Daphnia pulex: one gene and its partners. The protein of the gene in region 2 purifies or fractionates together with the protein of the main gene of each other region. This does not show direct contact. Links are inferred from orthologs where the notes say so. Each region holds a gene or a part of one and is shown on either strand. Other genes may lie near its edges.

The links.
Region 1: the proteins of renin receptor-like (region 2) and V-type proton ATPase subunit F-like purify together in Homo sapiens (affinity purification with mass spectrometry; 3 studies listed by BioGRID and IntAct, counting the BioPlex papers as one, with this or other methods). This does not show direct contact. The link is inferred for Daphnia pulex from reciprocal best matches to the Homo sapiens genes ATP6AP2 and ATP6V1F.
Region 3: the proteins of renin receptor-like (region 2) and coiled-coil domain-containing protein 115-like purify together in Homo sapiens (affinity purification with mass spectrometry; 3 studies listed by BioGRID and IntAct, counting the BioPlex papers as one, with this or other methods). This does not show direct contact. The link is inferred for Daphnia pulex from reciprocal best matches to the Homo sapiens genes ATP6AP2 and VMA22.

The regions. Positions count from the first base shown.
Region 1 is NC_060026.1:16,025,073-16,027,933, reverse strand, and holds V-type proton ATPase subunit F-like, read left to right. Parts: upstream 1-1,359; 5' UTR 1,360-1,469; coding exon 1,470-1,520; intron 1,521-1,593; coding exon 1,594-1,675; intron 1,676-1,745; coding exon 1,746-1,828; intron 1,829-1,888; coding exon 1,889-2,011; intron 2,012-2,071; coding exon 2,072-2,101; 3' UTR 2,102-2,245; downstream 2,246-2,861. Other genes in the region: eukaryotic translation initiation factor 4B-like, read right to left, coding at 1-93, 154-270, 345-514, 588-725, 997-1,009. UniProt on the Homo sapiens protein: Subunit of the V1 complex of vacuolar(H+)-ATPase (V-ATPase), a multisubunit enzyme composed of a peripheral complex (V1) that hydrolyzes ATP and a membrane integral complex (V0) that translocates protons.
Region 2 is NC_060018.1:1,924,312-1,927,953, reverse strand, and holds renin receptor-like, read left to right. Parts: upstream 1-1,394; 5' UTR 1,395-1,491; coding exon 1,492-1,537; intron 1,538-1,595; coding exon 1,596-1,723; intron 1,724-1,858; coding exon 1,859-2,167; intron 2,168-2,228; coding exon 2,229-2,396; intron 2,397-2,458; coding exon 2,459-2,539; intron 2,540-2,610; coding exon 2,611-2,725; intron 2,726-2,789; coding exon 2,790-2,869; 3' UTR 2,870-3,028; downstream 3,029-3,642. Other genes in the region: methylosome subunit pICln-like, read right to left, coding at 348-421, 504-569, 632-793, 898-1,043, 1,126-1,244. UniProt on the Homo sapiens protein: Multifunctional protein which functions as a renin, prorenin cellular receptor and is involved in the assembly of the lysosomal proton-transporting V-type ATPase (V-ATPase) and the acidification of the endo-lysosomal system.
Region 3 is NC_060024.1:10,425,595-10,428,320, reverse strand, and holds coiled-coil domain-containing protein 115-like, read left to right. Parts: upstream 1-1,490; 5' UTR 1,491-1,628; coding exon 1,629-2,102; 3' UTR 2,103-2,180; downstream 2,181-2,726. Other genes in the region: growth hormone-regulated TBC protein 1-like, read right to left, coding at 41-310, 406-639, 796-962, 1,024-1,055, 1,196-1,212. UniProt on the Homo sapiens protein: Accessory component of the proton-transporting vacuolar (V)-ATPase protein pump involved in intracellular iron homeostasis.

The DNA of each region.
Region 1 (2,861 bases), on a different chromosome or scaffold from region 2:
GCCACGACCTCGCCCCATACCGCCAGCGCCCTGTTCTTGATCACCATCTGCGCCGCTAGCAATGTCCACTCGGATTTTGCGGTTCTTAATCATCTGCAAAACAAGGACAAATGGAAACACTACAAGGTCAAATAGAAAAATTTGCAAAATTACCAATTCGTTCATCGTAAGGGCGTCAACTAAATCTTGCCTAGTTTCAAATTCAGCATAACCAAAGCCTCTCAGTCTGCCACCATCACCACCTTCTCTTGGCAGACGGACAGATTTAACCTAGGTAACCAGAAAAAAAGAGTATGAAATATCAGTAGAGAAAAAGTTGCTGTTGTGAAAGCGCAATTTCTTACCGAAAGCCCATGGAAGAACTTGGATACATCCTCTACTTCAATATCATAAGGTAGATTGGCTATATAAGCTGTGTAAGGTGCATTGTTGGGTATCCTAGATTCATCAATGTCTGATCCCCTGGCTGCCCGTGGTGCTGTGGGCAACAACAGCTTCTCCTTGTAAATCGCCTCTACAAATAAAACAAAAAATTACATTGTTGATACTCAATATGTCAGCGTATTAAAACAAAATATTTGACTTGCCATCTTCCATTTCATCAGCCCAACTGGTTTTGGAGGGTGCCATGACGACAGCTTCTCCAGACCTGGAACCTCCATGGTCGTCAGAGAGGAACTCATTCAATGACAGGACCTTTCCTTTGGATTTCTTCCCTTTTTTGGCTGAAATTCAACAGTTAAAAATTCACATCATTATTCAAGGCACCATTTTTAATAATCTATACACGACAAATCAGAAGCGAACAAGTGCCACATGTGAATTTAACCGGAAAGATTTCTAACGTCACTTTATCCGATTGTTACCACAAAAATAAAAATTACTCCACGACGTAGACGAAATTATGGAAAACAATTATTCGACATCACCGGTCTCTTTATCGAGCTTAAAACAGTAAATATCAAGAAAATGCCACGAGGAGAAATTTTTCCTTACCGGAAGCAGCCATGATTTTTTCTGAATGCACTCGTCAGTGCGCGGACTACTAGAGCTAGAGGACGGGACTCGTTGGACAATTCTTATGTTTGTCACGTAATTTTTTTTACACAATTAAATCATAGAAGTTTAAAAATCCTGTTTCAATTTTGATTTAGTTTCAGTATCTAAAATGAGCAGTTTACGAAATATTTGTTATTTAATATTGGTTGCCGAACCCAAGCCAACAAGTTTTCTGCCTCGAATATCTAGTTGCCGAAACGAATGTAAATGTAGTTGCCACCAATCTACACGAGGTGGCGTTGGATGGCTTCTTCTGCTGCTATCGATTAATAAAATGAATCGATTCACGATTGAAAGTCGGTGTGTTTTTTTTTCACGAGTCATGTGACAGTTCCCTTTTGACTAGAAACTAGAAAGAGAAGTCTTAGCTCAATTCACTTTAGTTCTCTTTCAATTTACTATACACAAAAATGGCCATTGCTGCAGCGAAAGGAAGGCTTATAGCCGTCATCGGTGATGAGGTAAATATATTAAAAATGATTTTATCGAACTTCATTTGGTTTCCAAATTTTAAAAAACAATGATTAATTGCAGGACACTTGTGTTGGATTCCTTTTGGGTGGCATTGGAGAGATGAACAAAAACAGGCAGCCCAACTTTATGGTCGTAGACAAGAGTACGAAACAACTTGAGATTTTGAGGTGGGAGAATGAAGTAAAATTTTCTCCTTGTTATGCTTCATACAGATACGAGCATCAGCGAAGTGGAGGACTGCTTCAAGCGCTTCCTCAAGAGAGATGACATTGACATCATTCTCATCAACCAGAATGTGAGTTTGAATGGAATGAATTGATTACGTGTTTGCTCACTTCCTCGCTTAATCATTCAGGTAGCAGAGATGATCAGGCACGTGATTGACAACCACAATGAACCAATTCCAGCAGTGCTCGAAATTCCTTCCAAAGATCATCCTTACGACGCGTCAAAAGATTCCATTCTCCGTCGTGCCAAGGTGTGTTTTTATTTTTAATTCAATAATCACTGATCAAATCATTTCTTTTCGTTTTTCTAGGGAATGTTTAGCGCCGAAGACACCAAGTAATAAAAGTCCTACTGCCATCGGCGCGTAGAATATATTCCCCAATTAGTTTTTGTTTGTTGTTGGGTGTTTTTCTTTCTTTTTCCTTGATGCATTCCTGTCCAGTCTTCATTGTTAATTGAACCTTAAATAGAGCAATCAACAGTCTTTTATGTACACAACTTTCCGCTCCGGCAATCGATTGAAATTATCGACCCCCTCGTTTCCCCAAAAAGAAAGTTTAGCCAATTAGGAGATTCACGTCAGAAAAGATGGGGCCAACTTGGGAGATCTTTTATCAATCAGCGCTTCTTTGTTGGGAGGAAAAGTAAGTATAGTACGTAATTGGATTTTTTAGCCTGTTGAATATTTTCTTTAAAAAAACCCAAATTTGTGCAAGGAAAAAGATTTTGAAGGAAGTTTAGTTGCTATGACACCTGCCAACGTGATCATCAAGCGTGATAAGATGTAACCAATTCCTGTCGAAGTTAAGACGGAATCATAAATTATTTTCATCTTTTTCCACTTGATTAGATAGAATCCTCCGGAGGCCAGACTAAAATTCTTGAGAAGGATCACAAAGGCAAGCGAATCCTCAATCCAATTGTGTCCAAGATTAGATTGAGGGTTATTTATCAGTGCGAAAATTTCCAGAGAGTGGTTCTGAATTATTGTGTAAGACTGGCGTCTGCGCACTCGGTATTCACAATTCCTTCCTTGGGTGAGAAAAATGCCTGGGCCAAGTTGAACAAGGATCAGTAGGAGGTCGACCCTTGAAGACAAA
Region 2 (3,642 bases):
CACATTTTTTTCATTTCAAGTTACCTTAAGAAGTTCTTTTTTTAAAGAAAACCAATGCTTTCTTTACTGTGGCAGCGATATTTTTAAGTTAAAGATTATTAAACTTGTTTTTTTTGTCACACATACAGTTTTTTTTTGCTTCCCGCTTAAAATCTACACATAATATTGGAGCGGGCGCATTCTTTTTTTTTAACTAACCGAGAATACTCGCGTTCATGGCAATCGAACAGTGAGGTGACACCAAAAATTGTTTTACATTAATTATCTCCTATGCTTTGAAGTTTTATTATTTAAAATTTCAAAGAAAGCAATAGTAAGTAAAGCGTGAATAAGGGAAATATGTGCGGTTAATGTTCAGGATCGGCATCTTCAAACTGACCCATGTCTGACTCCATGTTCTCCGCCTCACCATTATCATGATCTTACGAACAATTGAGGTGCACATTGAGAAAAACAATAAATATTTGTCGGATATCAATTAAATGAAATTATATCAGATTTACCATTTTCAGCTGTTTCTGCTCCATCAAGGCAATATTCTCCTTCCTCAGTATCTTCAAAATCTCCTTCTAAATAAAAAAAAAAGTTAATACAATAATCTGCAAAACTTTTGCCTTTTGTCAAATATTACCATCTGAAATTGAATCATTAGGATCAGGATGGAGTGTTTGACATATTGTCATGGCATGGTACATGGCATCAAGAAGTCCCCGATCTTCTGGAATAAACCTTACTTCAGACATATCAGTTTCAGATTCCTCATCCTCAGAATCTTGATTATCTAAAGCTTCATCTTAAAAATATAACTTTAATCAGACAAACCTGGAAACATGAACACATCTCACATAACATTTTCTCAAATGATATTTTAAACATAAATATAGAATTGGGTATTACCGGGTTCATCAAGCCTTGAATCCAACATCAAGTACAAGCATTCCTGTGGAAATGCAGAAGGATCTTTTGAAACAGCATGTAACGATATGTGGGGGTATTCCAGCGAAAATCCCTGGCCAGATGTGGCACTAACCCATGATACACGACTAAATGGTTTGGAATAGGTAAAATTATTTTTCCGTGACTCTTGTAATCGAAAACTTAAATAGAATATAAATATAAATTAACCTTTCTGCAATATATAATGTTCCTTGGCCCAAGTCTCTGGTGTTGATGAAAGCTCCAGTATTAGGCTGAACTAATTTGATTCCTTCGGTAGGCGGAGGAAATGAAGATAATACAACCATTTTTTAAGAAATTTAACGAATTCAGAAAAGAAGAAGAGCAACAATTTGAAAATGAAATATGATTCGAATCACGCTGTCAGCAGCACAACGTTTTAAAAAAAAATTGTAGGCTGCAATGAAAACGTCATCTAGGGACTAAATCATGAACCACGAACACATCACCTGACTTTAGCTGTCACGAGACTCGAGACTGTCAAACTTTTTCTAAAGGCAATTGCAGCTGCTGTTGACCAGACAAGAAGGCAAGATGAAAGTGGCATCAATTGTCGGCGTATTTTGTCTATTAACCTCAGGTAATTATTTTCTAGCGATTGAAAACTACAGCTTTTGAAGTGTTTTGTTGCAATGCAGTCCTGGGAAATGGAGAGTTCAGCATCTTGCACAGCCCTAATGGAGTCAACTTTAGGGGAGATGAACAGCTGAATACAAGTGAATTGCCAAAAATTATTTCCACTGCAATGGGGCACACAACACCTTTTGTAAGTTCTTTCATTCATTTATAACTTTGTAGATTAGGAACTATATGTTTGGTTCCAAACGAAGGAGTGATATTGCAACTTGATGTATCTATGATGAAATCAGTTTGAAGCAATACCATTATTTGCTGTTTTCAGGGTGACTCGTGGAATGGACTTACAGTCTTGAATCCATTTAATTACCCAGAAGTTTCAGTTGCTGTTGTTGTTGAGGGTGTGCAAAGTCTCCAGTTGAGTGAACCCAGATACCCACTAGAGATCACCTCTACTCTTGATCAAGTGAAGGATGATTTCACTTCTATTCTAGGCCAAGTTGTATTTGACGAAAATGACTTATATTCTGGTGAAACCCAGAAGATTTTGGCACTTCAAAAGCTCAACAAAAAGGATGTTGCTGTCTTGCAGTTTCTTAAAGATATTGATGTTTTGATGGATTTAAAACATAAGGTATTTTCATTAGTTAAAAAATAGTGAGAGGTTTTTACACACAATACATTATTTTCAAAAGGTATTGGCAAAATCCGTCTTCAAGACTGTTTGGATCCGCCTTAATGGTTTGGATGATATCATCAGTGTCTATGGTCAAGACTCTGAGCAAGCTTTGGAAGCAGTTACTATTTTGAAATCTGCTCTCGGCGAGCTTCAAGATGCACTAGAAAACACTTATGGCGATCGAGTATGACACAGTTATATTTGAATTCGAAAAATTTGTGTGTAACAATTTTTGTCTTTTTATAGTTTATCCTAACTGCCATAACCATTGAAAGACTTCGCCTTCGAGAAAAGAGGTCTACGACTTCGAATGCCAAAGCAAATAGCGTATGATTTTTTAAAATTTTATTTTCAAATAATAGTCGAGGGTTAAAATAACTTTATCCTCCTTCTTTCAGGAACTGTATTGGAAGTTGAATTTATCTAAACGCTATGGATCGGATTACTCATCCATTTTTAATATCCTTTTATGGACATCCGTTTTCTTGATTGCTGCTCTTATTTCCACCGCTGGTAATTGATTAATCTGAGTTCGATTTTTGCAATCTGCCATAACATTATCCCTTTAATTTTTCAGTGTTTATTTGCACACTCGATCCTGGTCGTGACTCCATCATCTATCGGATGACGACACAGCGCATCAAAAAGGAAAATTAGAGAAGTCACATTCCGATTTATTTGTTGGCTTGAGCCTCACTGATAATAATTTAGCGTGTAAAAAAATGTTACTTTGTTTGGTGTACATTTTCTAGCTTTTCTTTGTTCATGTCGTAGCCATAACTGTTCGTTCTGTGTGTGATTACACATTTAAACGAAGTTTTGTTTTCCCGTCGAGTTGAGTGCTTTTTCGATGATCCGAGTCATCGTCCAAGTAAGGAAATATTAACATTCTCCTCTGCTGTGTAACTGATTGTGTTATGGGCACGCGACATCCGAATCGCTCTCCTCTCACTTTCACCACGGCGTTTTGGAGAAAGGATTCTTACTATCTCTAAACGAGTTTCCATCGAGAGCTTATTTTGGTCTGTAGCGTGTTATTAAAAAAAACAACGTGTTTTGTATTCGTCGGATGCTTTCTGCAATCCCTTGGGCTATGTCCTACTTTTGCGCAGTAGTATCAGACTTTTATCATGAGCATCTACCATGGACAATCGATAGAAACGACTGGTCTTTCTCCACATTGATAATAACTCAAGTACCTTGGGTAAATAACAAAAACATGAACAATCGGCCTCGGGTATCATTAATCACTGTTATCGGTCACAGAAATACAGAGAAACGAAACGCTATCCCCCCCCCCCCCATGGAATCTCTAGTTGGTAAGAATGGAAAATGTTGTTTTAATATTCGGAATATTTAATCACGGAAGACTGGCTCTTTTTTAATTAACCATTATTACGCTCAAGTTGCGAGTTGACTTGATAGTTTTC
Region 3 (2,726 bases), on a different chromosome or scaffold from region 2:
TTCATCAACGAAAATGTAATAAAAAGTGGTAAAAACTAACCTCAACGGGCAGAACCTCGGCATAGAGACAAATAAACCATTTGGTGACAAGAATTGGCCAAGGAAGATGAAGATCCTTTAAAAGACGGTCAAGTTTAGAGGATTTTGAACGGACTAGTTCCCCTAATACGGCGATGTCAGTAATTAAGCCTTGCATATTTGATGAATAGTAGCTCGGCAAGATGTTGCGAATAAGGACTGTTAAGAGCCAGAAAGACTGTTCTTCATCCTTTGTTGCTATAAGCAAAAGACCAGCGACATAATTCAAACCCTGCAAAACATAACCAATACCAAGCCAAAACTTAAATTATGGAAAAACTTGTATGCGTCGATTGTGTAGTATATTAATAAAAAATAAATAAATACCTGGCAATATCCAACTGAGGTATTGTGTCTTGCACTTGCTCGTAATATGTTGTATAATGAGTTAAGTTTACCATCGGAAGATGGTACAAAATAGATGTTGTCTGGATATGTTCGGTTGAGGTCGTTTTGTATGATTTCATCCCAGTTTTGATGGCTAGTGTCACTTATCAAGTCTTGGTACAAATTTGGTTGACGAGACTTCAAGAAATTTGCTCCACTTGTCATCATCCAAACCTATAGAATTAAGTTTTATCAATCAAATTTTTATGTTTTTTTCAATTAAATCAATGTTTGTTGCAATAAACATTTGTGCATAAATATTGCAGCAAATGATACAGAAAGAAATATCAAAAGTAAAGAAGAAGAATTTCCCTTTATATTTATTCATACCTTTCCTCTAAACTGTGCTGGAACCCCTTTCCTTACAAATCTTTTCATTGTTCCACCATCAGGTAAGCTCTGCTGGCTTAAAATTGAATTCCATCGCATAGACCGCCTTGTTAAAATTACCATGTACCTTGACATGAAGGTCTCATAGGCTTTATAATCAAAATCATCTACAAATAAAAAAAAGTTACAAAAGGACGAAAAAATACTAATTATGATAAACTTTCAAACCTGGTCTCTCAAAGCCATATTCATCAACTTTGCTGAAAACATAATGAATGGAATTGTAATTTCATATAGTTCAAGAAAAGGAAAGCCATGCAAAAAGTATTGCTCCAATTGAGAAGGTCACACATATTTAAGGCAAATATAGGGCAGTTCAACACAAGGGACAAGACTTCACCTGAAAGAAGAAATCATGGTAAATGTTGAAGAAACCCCCTTCCAATCATATAGAAATCAACGGATGTTAAAAATAAGAAAGACAAAAAAATCCACTCGTGGAATTTAAAATTAAAATAAAACGTCCACAACCCAACACAGAAACAAAAAAAAAACACTTCCACTTTCGCTATAAATTTCTCGAGGCAGCCGATTTAGGTATGTTTACCAAATAGTCTCGCCACCTGTTATCAATAAATTAAAATGTTCCTGTTACACAAAATATGCCAGAAGTTTCGTCTGCTTCCACGAATCGATTAGAAATTGTGACACAACGCCAATGATTCACAGGAAGTATTAAGTGCTTATTCATCGCAGAACATTTTAGTCGTTAAAGTTGCCTAAGACTAAGACTTGCCTATCAAGATTCTTATTCGTAATTTGTTTTAGCCACGATGGAACACAAAGATACAAATGCCAGTGCCCAGCTAACTCAAGTGTGTGAATCTTTAGATGAACTTACTTTGAAACAAGTGGATTTAGTGGATGAACAATTGGTTTTGATGTCGAAACTAAGTAGCCTTTTGACTGGCGGTTTCATTGATATGGCAAAAAGTCGCTACATCAGTGGAGAGAGAACAGTTTCTACTACACAAATTCCAGGAGAAGACAGTATTATTGAAGCTGTAACGACAGTCGATCGTGACAACATGAACAAGCTAACAGTTTCAAGAAACAAAGAAGTGAATGACCCAATCAAATGGTTTGGTGTGTTGGTGCCCACCTCTTTGAAGCAAAGTCAGCATGCATTCCAAAAAGTTGTAGATGTTGCTGTAGAAATTGTCAACATTCGTAGAGAATGGCTGCAGTCATTTGACACTTTGGAGGAGGAGTACCAAAAACTTTCTAGTTTAAAGAATTCCACATGAATGACTACCCATTTATGATTGTAGAAACATGTCATACACCTATACCTAAATCTAAAATGTATGTCCATTGGCAGATTCCTTAGAATTTATTTTACTACTATTAATGCTATGTTAGGTTATACATTTTGTATCAAGAAACAAAATTTTCACCTCAGGCATACAACTTCTTAAACATAAGGCTTCCCATCATACCAATTTAAAAGATAAAGTAAATGTCCAAGATAGTTTTGATTATGTATGACACAGGGGATGTTTGTTAAGAGAATTATGAAAGATTCCTACAAGTTGAGATGGAAGGTTTTACTAAAAAAAAATTTCAGCATGCTTGGAATTTATCAATGGAACTACATTCTACATTGTCTAAAATTCTGGAATGATTCAGAAAAGTGCACTGAAGGCTAGAGCTGATTGTTATCCCAAAAGCTACCAATGCAAGGTAAATGATATTTTAAAATACAGGAAGACATGAGATGAGAAGACGAAATATTACTACGATGACTATAAAGAATGAGAACTTTTAGAATAGGTTGTTCCGCGCATAATGGTACATACGGAATCTGAAGATCAAACAAAACCAAACTCATTTAATGGAAGAGGAAACTAATACTGGGATGCCAGGTCTAA